Linked DNA regions of Rattus norvegicus. The protein of the gene in region 1 purifies or fractionates together with the protein of each later gene. This does not show direct contact. Links are inferred from orthologs where the notes say so. Each region holds a gene or a part of one and is shown on either strand. Other genes may lie near its edges.

Evidence for each region.
Region 2: the proteins of Tnrc6c (region 1) and Cnot10 purify together in Homo sapiens (co-immunoprecipitation; 3 studies listed by BioGRID and IntAct, with this or other methods). This does not show direct contact. The link is inferred for Rattus norvegicus from reciprocal best matches to the Homo sapiens genes TNRC6C and CNOT10.

Annotation. Positions count from the first base shown.
Region 1 is NC_086028.1:103,432,558-103,436,365, reverse strand, and holds part of Tnrc6c (trinucleotide repeat containing adaptor 6C), read right to left. Parts: intron 3,294-3,808; coding exon 690-3,293; intron 668-689; exon of another isoform or gene 1-667. UniProt on the Homo sapiens protein: Plays a role in RNA-mediated gene silencing by micro-RNAs (miRNAs). Required for miRNA-dependent translational repression of complementary mRNAs by argonaute family proteins.
Region 2 is NC_086026.1:123,205,105-123,209,551, forward strand, and holds the start of Cnot10 (CCR4-NOT transcription complex subunit 10), read right to left. Parts: upstream 3,064-4,447; 5' UTR 2,939-3,063; coding exon 2,917-2,938; intron 1,126-2,916; exon of another isoform or gene 1-1,125. UniProt on the Homo sapiens protein: Component of the CCR4-NOT complex which is one of the major cellular mRNA deadenylases and is linked to various cellular processes including bulk mRNA degradation, miRNA-mediated repression, translational repression during translational initiation and general transcription regulation.

The DNA.
Region 1 (3,808 bases):
GCGCAGATTCATCAATCAGATTCTCTGGGACTGAGAGCCTATCTCATCAAACACCAAGGCAACTTAAGGACTGAGAACCACTTGTTCTACCTGGTAAAGAAGACATCTTGCAGAAGCACACACAATAATGTGAGGCCCCCAGGCTTCCCTGAGGAGGACTGTGCTTCTTCCCTCACCACTCCTGGGCACTCATGCAGAGGCTGGCTGGACCGTGGTACAGGGCAGCCCCAGACCAGCTGCATACTGCAGGGCAGAAGAATGAGCTTGTGCTTGTAGATGGTGACTATGATCAAGTAAAGCTCCATCAACCGGGCAAAGCCAAGGAGATGCACAAAACCTCTAACAGGTGATAGGCAGGCCCTGATTACAGCCACATGGCAGAAAGGCTTTAGAGCTGCTCCTATAAAAGAACTTCAATTGCCCAATGATTCCATAACTGACAGAACCCAGACAAGCAGAGTACTATACAGGGAAACTTGAAACAAAATTAACACTTAGCCTGTTGCTGTTGGAAGCATGAGAAGGACCACACTGGCTGGAGCCCGGTAGCATGGAGCATGCCACCCAGCACTTCTTATCCCTGGAAAACAGCTACACTATTTAGTCATTTGCTACAAGAGTATCCGTCGGAGAATTCACACAGACACGGAGTACACACCAATGGTATGACCAGAGGGACCCCAGCATACCTGGCCCGAGCAGTGGTGACCGATTCAGCTGAGTGCCAGCCTGGTGTGAAGGCGGCGTCTCGGCCCGGTGTGTGGTGCTGCTCAAGGTGGGGGTCGTGGGGGTGGCAGGGGCTGTGGTACTGCTCTGGATGACTGGATTGTTTCTGTCCCACATGTTTACAGTTTTATTGTTGTAGGTGCTTGGGTCCCCCCAAGCTGAGGTACCATCATCAACTTCCATTTTGCGTCGGATGGAGGGTGGGGAAGGCTCCTCCCAGCCAGTCGCCTCACTGCTGTCCTTCTGCTTGACTGGCAGTGGCCCCCCAATCCACCCCGTCCCTGTCTGCTTAACAGAAGCAGCTCCCCCCCAGTTACTCACATTGTTGTCTTGGGGCTTGTGAGCCCAGTTCTGCTGGGGACCAGGCTTGAGAGACTCCCCCCAGTTTGTACCTGGATTCACCTTAGCATTGGTGCCACTGGCCCAGCCACTGGTCCCACACCTCGTGGCATCATTCCAACCAGACCCTGACCTACTACCATCAGCATCCCATCCAGATCCACTTTTCTTTCCATCCCCTAGATGTCCAAGGACAGATGGTGAGTCTGCCCAGTCTCCTGCTCCTGCACTCCAGGCTGGGTTTGCTCTTTGTCCATCGCCCCAGTTTTGGGATTTGGGTTTCTGAGGCTCACCCCAGGTGGGTGACTTGTCCTCTTGGTTTACAGTCCCACTCCAAGCATGGCCACTCTTGGTGGCAGCAGCATTGTTAACAGCAGTAGAGCTTATTGAGTCCCCCCAAACTCCTGGGCCACTTGGCGCTTTGTTGTTGCTGTCTCCCCAGCTTGTGTTTGCTGGCACGGCGGCAGGTGGCGAGCTGACCCACCCCGATACTGAAGAGGTATTTGTACTGTTCATGATGGACCCATCAGTCTTCCCCCCTGAGTTTGAAGGCTGAGTAGCTACACTACCCCAGGCCTCTGTCCCATTGTCATTTTTCCTTTCAGACCTAGGGGACTCTTCAAATTCCCAGGCAGTGTTTTGCTTTACGGGAGTCTGTCCCCAACCACTATTAGACAGAACTCTTGGGTCAAGATCATTCCTTGGCAACTGGATGTGCCCTTGGTCTAGAACCCCTTTGTCTCGCCTCCGGCCCTCTCCTGCTCCTTCCCTCCCAGTGCTTCCTTCATTGTGACTGCCGGACCCCTCACTGCTTCCTTCACTTGCTGTAGTTCCAGAAGATGTGGCTTTGGCCCATGAGTTCATGTGTTCACTGCCAGGCTGCAGGGCAGGGGTCTGGCTGGCAGCACTGGCACTGTCCCACCCTGTTGATCCTTTCCCATTGATGTCACTACTGGAATGCTGGTTTGGGGGCTTCGCCCACTCCCCATTCACACCATTAGAAGAACTTCGGCTGGGGTGGCCCCAAGCTCCCGAATGGATATTCCCAATGCCGTTGCCATTGCCCCTTCCCCAGGCCAGGATGCCAGGCCCTGCAGGAGGCCCCGAGTCCCAGGCGTTCCCTCCATTCCCCTCCTTCTGCGCAGCACTGCTGGATCCATTCTGCTTAGCACTTAATGCTGAGTTCACAGTGTCTCCTCCATTCCCCTGACTGAACCCACAATTGGTACTTCCTGTGGCAGGGTTGCCAGGGGACAGTCCCCACACAGAACTGCCCATTCCTTCCCCACCACTCCCACTGCCTTGAGAGACTGATGATCCGTTAGCACCAGGAAGGCCTTGCAGGTGGGGTGGGATGATGGCCCCCATACCAACAGCCATGCCCCAGTTTGGCAGTCCGTTTGTCTGCATTGCATTGATAGGGTTTGGTGAAGAGTTATTCAAGGGGTTAGTGTTATTTGGTCCATCAGTGTTAAGGTTCTGAGGTTGTACGCTGAAAGACACATTCTGAGAAGTGGACGTTTGTGGTTCTGTGCTCTCTTGGGGCAGCAAGTTTCCCCAGGCACCCAGGGTGCCCACTGGGTTCCCATTCTGGCTGCCCATACTCTGACCTATGGCACTGACTGGACTGCAAATACTGGAAGGGTTGCCTGTTGCCACAGTTCCTTCATGCCCAAGTACAGGCCAGGCAGCTGGGTTGGCATTAGGATTGAGGCTGAGATTAATGCCCGCATTGGAGTTGGAAGCACCCCAGCAATTCTGACTTCTCCCATCTCCAATCATGTTGTCCATTTTCCCATCTCCACCACCAACAGAGCAGTGAGCCAGGCCAGAGCTGGAGCCGGTGGCTACACCCCACACTCTGGCCATGCCCCCATTCCCATTGGCTGCTCCTGCCCCAAGGGCACTCGGGTTAGAAGGGCTTTGGACGAGTGTGCCATTGGTGCCATGACTGCCATTCGTCTTCTTCGGGTGGCCGGGGAAGCTGCTCTGGGTGCTCCCTGTAGCCATGCTACTGTTCTCGGAGCCACAGTTGGAGGCAGAGTCAGTGTCGGTAGGACATTCTGAGGCAGATTCAGTCTCTGTTACTGGGGTGGACGGCCACAGCTCTTGGTCAGTCCTGTCTATTATCACTTTATCCCAGCTGCAGTCTGCTTCACTTCTGTAAGAGGGATGCTGTCCCCAGTGACAATTTTCATAGTGACCTGCCAATCCACTGTGACCAAGATCTGGAAAAACAAGAAACAAAACTCAAAGTTACACTCTCCTCCCACTGCCAATGAAGCAACTCGTTTGGGGAGAAAACTAGCCTTTTATTTCCTATTCTCAATTCTAAATCAGAAAACACGGACCAAGCCTTATGGGGCTGTGGGTGTGGCTCGGACGTGGAGCACTTGCCTAGCACATCTAAGGTCCTGGGTTCCATCCTAGGACTACAAAAACAAACAACAACAATAACAACCAACCAACCCACCCCCTTAAAATCCCACGTTTCCTTGACGTTATCAAGATGATAGGACTGAGTGTGCAGGAGACAGCAACCAACATCTAAAAATCTACCTCCATGAAATTCTTAAGAATCTAATGGTGTGGGGCATGGACACCATTTCTTCTCTAGAGAAGGTTGAGTTACTGCACTTGGCCCCTCCCACCACCAAGAAAGGAGCTCACTCTTTAGTGGGCTTGCTGGGATTCTGGAGACGGCATTCACTCACTTGGGTGTGACTCAGGTCCATAGGCCCAG
Region 2 (4,447 bases), on another chromosome or scaffold:
CATATTAGATGTCCTTAACCAACTGCAAGGTGAAAGCAGGAGGAAGATATACATACATATACACACACATACACACATACACACATACACACACACACACACACACACACACACACACACGCCTCCTTTCTCCTCCCTATGTGTTACTTTCAAAAACTGCTTCTAGAGGCTGTGTGGCCCTGGCTGAGGCTCCATGAAAAAACCTTGCACAGGAAGTGACTGCCACAGCTTCTCAGAGCTGGTGGTGGATCAATAGCAGGGACAGAACATACCGTGTCTCCCCTTATTGCTATCTCTCCTTCACTCCCCAGACCCTGGCACTTTCCAAATAAACTTAACATGTCTCTTCTGTCTCTTTAACATCACCGTAAAGAGACACAGGCTGGCGCTTACTATTTACTTGAGTGTGTATGTCAGACACAGCTTGGAAAAGGCAGTATTTTCCTCTACTACATGGGTCCTGGGGATGGGACTCTGGGTGTCAGGCTTGAAAGAAAACACCTTTACCCACTGAACCATCTCACAGGCCCTTAGCAGACATTTAAAGGCCAGGTGGTGGTGGTGGTGGTGTTTCCAGCTGCCTCAGCACATTCCTTTGATCCCAGCCCTCTGAGGTGAACTCAGAAGCAGGTGGATTTCTTTCTTTCTTTCTTTTTTTTTTTTTTTAAAGATTTATTTTATTTATTATATATAAGTACACTGTAGCTGTCTTCAGATACACCAGAAGAGGGCATCGGATCTCCTTACAGATGGTTGTGAGCCACCATGTGGTTGCTGGGAATTGAACTCAGGACCTCTGGAAGAGCAGTCGGGTGCTCTTAACTGCTGAGCCATCTCTCCAGCCCAGCAGGTGGATTTCTTGTGTTTGAGGCTACCTGGTCTACAGAGGGAGTTTCTTTAACAGCCAGGGCTTCAAGAGAAACCTTGTCTTGAAAAACAGCAAACAAACAAACAAAACAACAACAAAAACCCAAACTCACCACTACCACCAACAGCAAAAATTACAAAAGGCTGGGCATGGTGGTGCATGCCTTTAAAATTCCAGCCCTTGGGAGGCAAAGGCAGATGGGTTCCTGAGAATTTGAAGTTAGGCTGGTCTGAATAGAAAATCTTTTTTTTTTTTTTTGGTTCTTTTTTTCGGAGCTGGGGACCGAACCCAGGGCCTTGCGCTTCCTAGGTAAGCGCTCCACCACTGAGCTAAATCCCCAGCCCCCTGAATAGAAAATCTTAAAGGCCAGCCAAAGCTATTAGAGAGACCTTGTCTCAAAAAGTATAAAAACGGGGTTGGGGATTTAGCTCAGTGGTAGAGCGCTTGCCTAAGAAGCGCAAGGCCCTGGGTTTGATCCCCAGCTCCGAAAAAAAGAACCAAAAAAAAAAAAAAAAGAAAAAGTATAAAAACAAACCAACCAAAACCAAGCCACAGCTGATGTCACTTGAGCCTTCACTAGCTCTAGGAGAAAGACACTGTCAGCATGCTTACTGTACACAAAGGGACACTGAGGCTCAAAAAGGCTTCTCAGGCACCAAGCCCAAGTTCAGTTCTTGGAAGGAGAGAATTGGTAGGAGAGTACTGACTCCCACAGGTAGTCTCTGACCTCCAGACGTGTATTAAGGATTGTGTTCTGATAGACAGACAGGCAGACAGACAATGTACAATAAGAAAATTAACAAGCAGCTGCTGGAGAGATGTCTCAGGGGTGGAGGATTACTGCTCCTACAGAGGACCCAATTTTGAAAGCTCGTAAACCATATTAAAGAGTAAGGGCTCAGCGGCTAACCAGTGAGACAATCTTGGAAAGTCTATAGAGAGGAAAGCAGCACACACGATGACTATTTAGAAAAAAGATGAAGAGCAGTGAGAGACCGGGAGATAGCCTGATGGGTAAACATGCTCAGTCTTACCCCGAGTCTAGATCGTCAGAGCCCAGACACAGTGGCATTCCCAGTGAGAGGGACAGGCAGTGAAGACAATCGAAGCCCCTGGAAACTCCCAGGGCAGCTAGCACAGAGTATTAATTTCTTCAAAGAAATAAAGCAGACTTTCCAGGTAATGAGTGGGCTAGAAATTTATAATTCCCCAAGGGGAAAAATTCCCGAGGGGGCACCACAGAAAACCCTAGAGATTAAGAACTTAATCTTGGAGCTGGAAAGAAGATGGCTTAGCCATTAACAGCACTTGCTGCTCTTGCAGAGGACAAAAGTAGGTCCCCAGCACCCACAGGTGGTGGCCCACAACTGTGTAACTCCAGCTCCTGTAGACACAACGTCCTCTTCGGGTCTCTGAAGGCACCTGTACTCACACACATAATTAAGATTTTTTTCTTTTTCTTTTCTTTTCTTTTTTTTTTTCTTTTTTCTTTTTTTCGGAGCTGGGGACCGAACCCAGGGCCTTCCGCTTGCTAGGCAAGCGCTCTACCACTGAGCTAAATCCCCAACCCCAAGATTTTTTTTTAAAAAAAGAAGTTAATCTTGAGTAGCTAGAGAAAAATCAAATGGCGAACAAGGTTAAGTGACAGCAGGCAGAAGACACACTTAAACGTCACGTCTATTTAAACGGTTTTCAGAAGGATTCCACAGGACACGCTGACCAGAGGGAACTTTCAGTGGCTGAGCCTGGGGACCTTACGGCAACCGTGTAAGCTCGGGAAGACCTTCCCCTGATGCCTCTGGAAAGCGGCGTGACAAATTTGAGCTTTCTGGGGCAGAATTATCTTGGAGAGCAAGGCAAGGATGGTCTGCAGTGGCATCGAGACGGGTCACAGTAGAAAACCCACAGGACTCACAGTAGGGACAGCTGAGAAGAGTGAGGGGCAGAAATATACGAGTGAAGTCAAGTGGCCCTGGAGTCCCCCACGCGGGCCCTGCCATCTCCGCGCGCAGTGTGTCAGCCCCTGGGTCGCGGCGCGGGCGCCTCACCTGCAGGCTTGTCTGCAGCCATCTTCCCGCCTCGGCTCGAGTTCTTCCCTGCAGGTGGCGTGGCCCTGACTCCCGCCGCCGGGCTGGTGGCGGGTCCTGTAGGCGGGGGAAAACTCTTCAACTCAAGCCGGCTTCGGTCGCCTCTGGTTCGGTCCTGGGCGGGCCACGGGCTGAGGAAGTGACGAACTCACTGTTCGTCGTCTAGCAACAGCACCAACACATCCGCCAGTGGAGGACTGTTTTCCCCGCCATCCACGGCTTCCGTTCTGTAGCGCCCAAGGAAGACAGTACTTCCGGGGCGGGGCCAGCTGGAAGGCCAGCTGGGCGTGGGAATTAGGGCTAGCCGCGGCCCCGGAAGCGGGTCCTTGTGCAAAGCCGGAAGTGTATTAGTGCAGGTCCTGAGTGAAACACGGAAGGGGAAGGGCATTTTGTTCCGCATTTCACCAAAATGACGGGTATCACACCTGATGTCTATACGCTAATCGCTTAATCTCACATGGCCTGTACTATTTCACCGATTTTCCACAACAATGAGGATGAGGGAGATGTTATTAGAGGCCACCCCCCCATATAAAAGCCTTTTTTAAAAAAAAGTCTCAGCCATTTTGTTATTTGTAGCCAAGTTGGAAAATTCAGAGTTCCTGCATTATGCATCCGGTTTCTCTGGTTGCGAATCCTGCAACAGTTAACTTATGTAGGTCACATCTAAGACATCAGCTTGGTGCATCACTATTACTAAGCACAATGGTTTAGATTCATGTTCAAGAACTCTGCAAAAACAATACCCATCCTTAACGACCCAGGCATCTCCAGCCATATATCTTGACAGATTTTTGTTTGATTAATTTTTTGAGACAGAGTCTCTCTATGTATCCTTGCTGCAGTCTTTGGATAAAGCAAAGGATTTATCCCTGAACTGGTTCTGGTTTTGTTCAATGACCTCAGCCTTGGGTTCCAGAAGCACGTACTCCATCCTTCCTTTCCCTTCTAGGGAATAACCAGTATTTATAATAACAGAGGTTCAGATCATGGAGGGAAACAGACACCAGAGGCATTTGTGTTAGACTTTTTGCTTCTGTGATAAATACCCTGAAGGAGAATTTAAGTGAGGAAGAATGGATTTTTGCCTCAGGTATCAGAATTTTCAGTCCCGGGTCACTTGGTTCCATTGTTTTGGGGCCCTTGGTGAAGCAGTGCATTGTGCCAGGGCACAAGTTATAGAGTAAAGTTGTTGACTTCCTGGTGGCTAGAAGCAGAGGAAACTGGAAGAAGAAAGAGCCTCCAAGGGCACATTCCACTGAGATTCTTACTCCCACTGGGCTCCATGTCCTTATTTTCCATTGCTTCCTAATGATGCATCAAATTACGACTCTGCTAGTGGGTGAATCTAAGGATAGTTCCAAACTGGTGGAATCCTATTACCACTCGCAAAGACTGGGGTCCTGGCCTCCTATTTAGAGGCTTTTGAGGGAGGGGAACGTCATATATAAATGACAACAGCAACAGCACTGAATTGTAAAGTAACCATCAC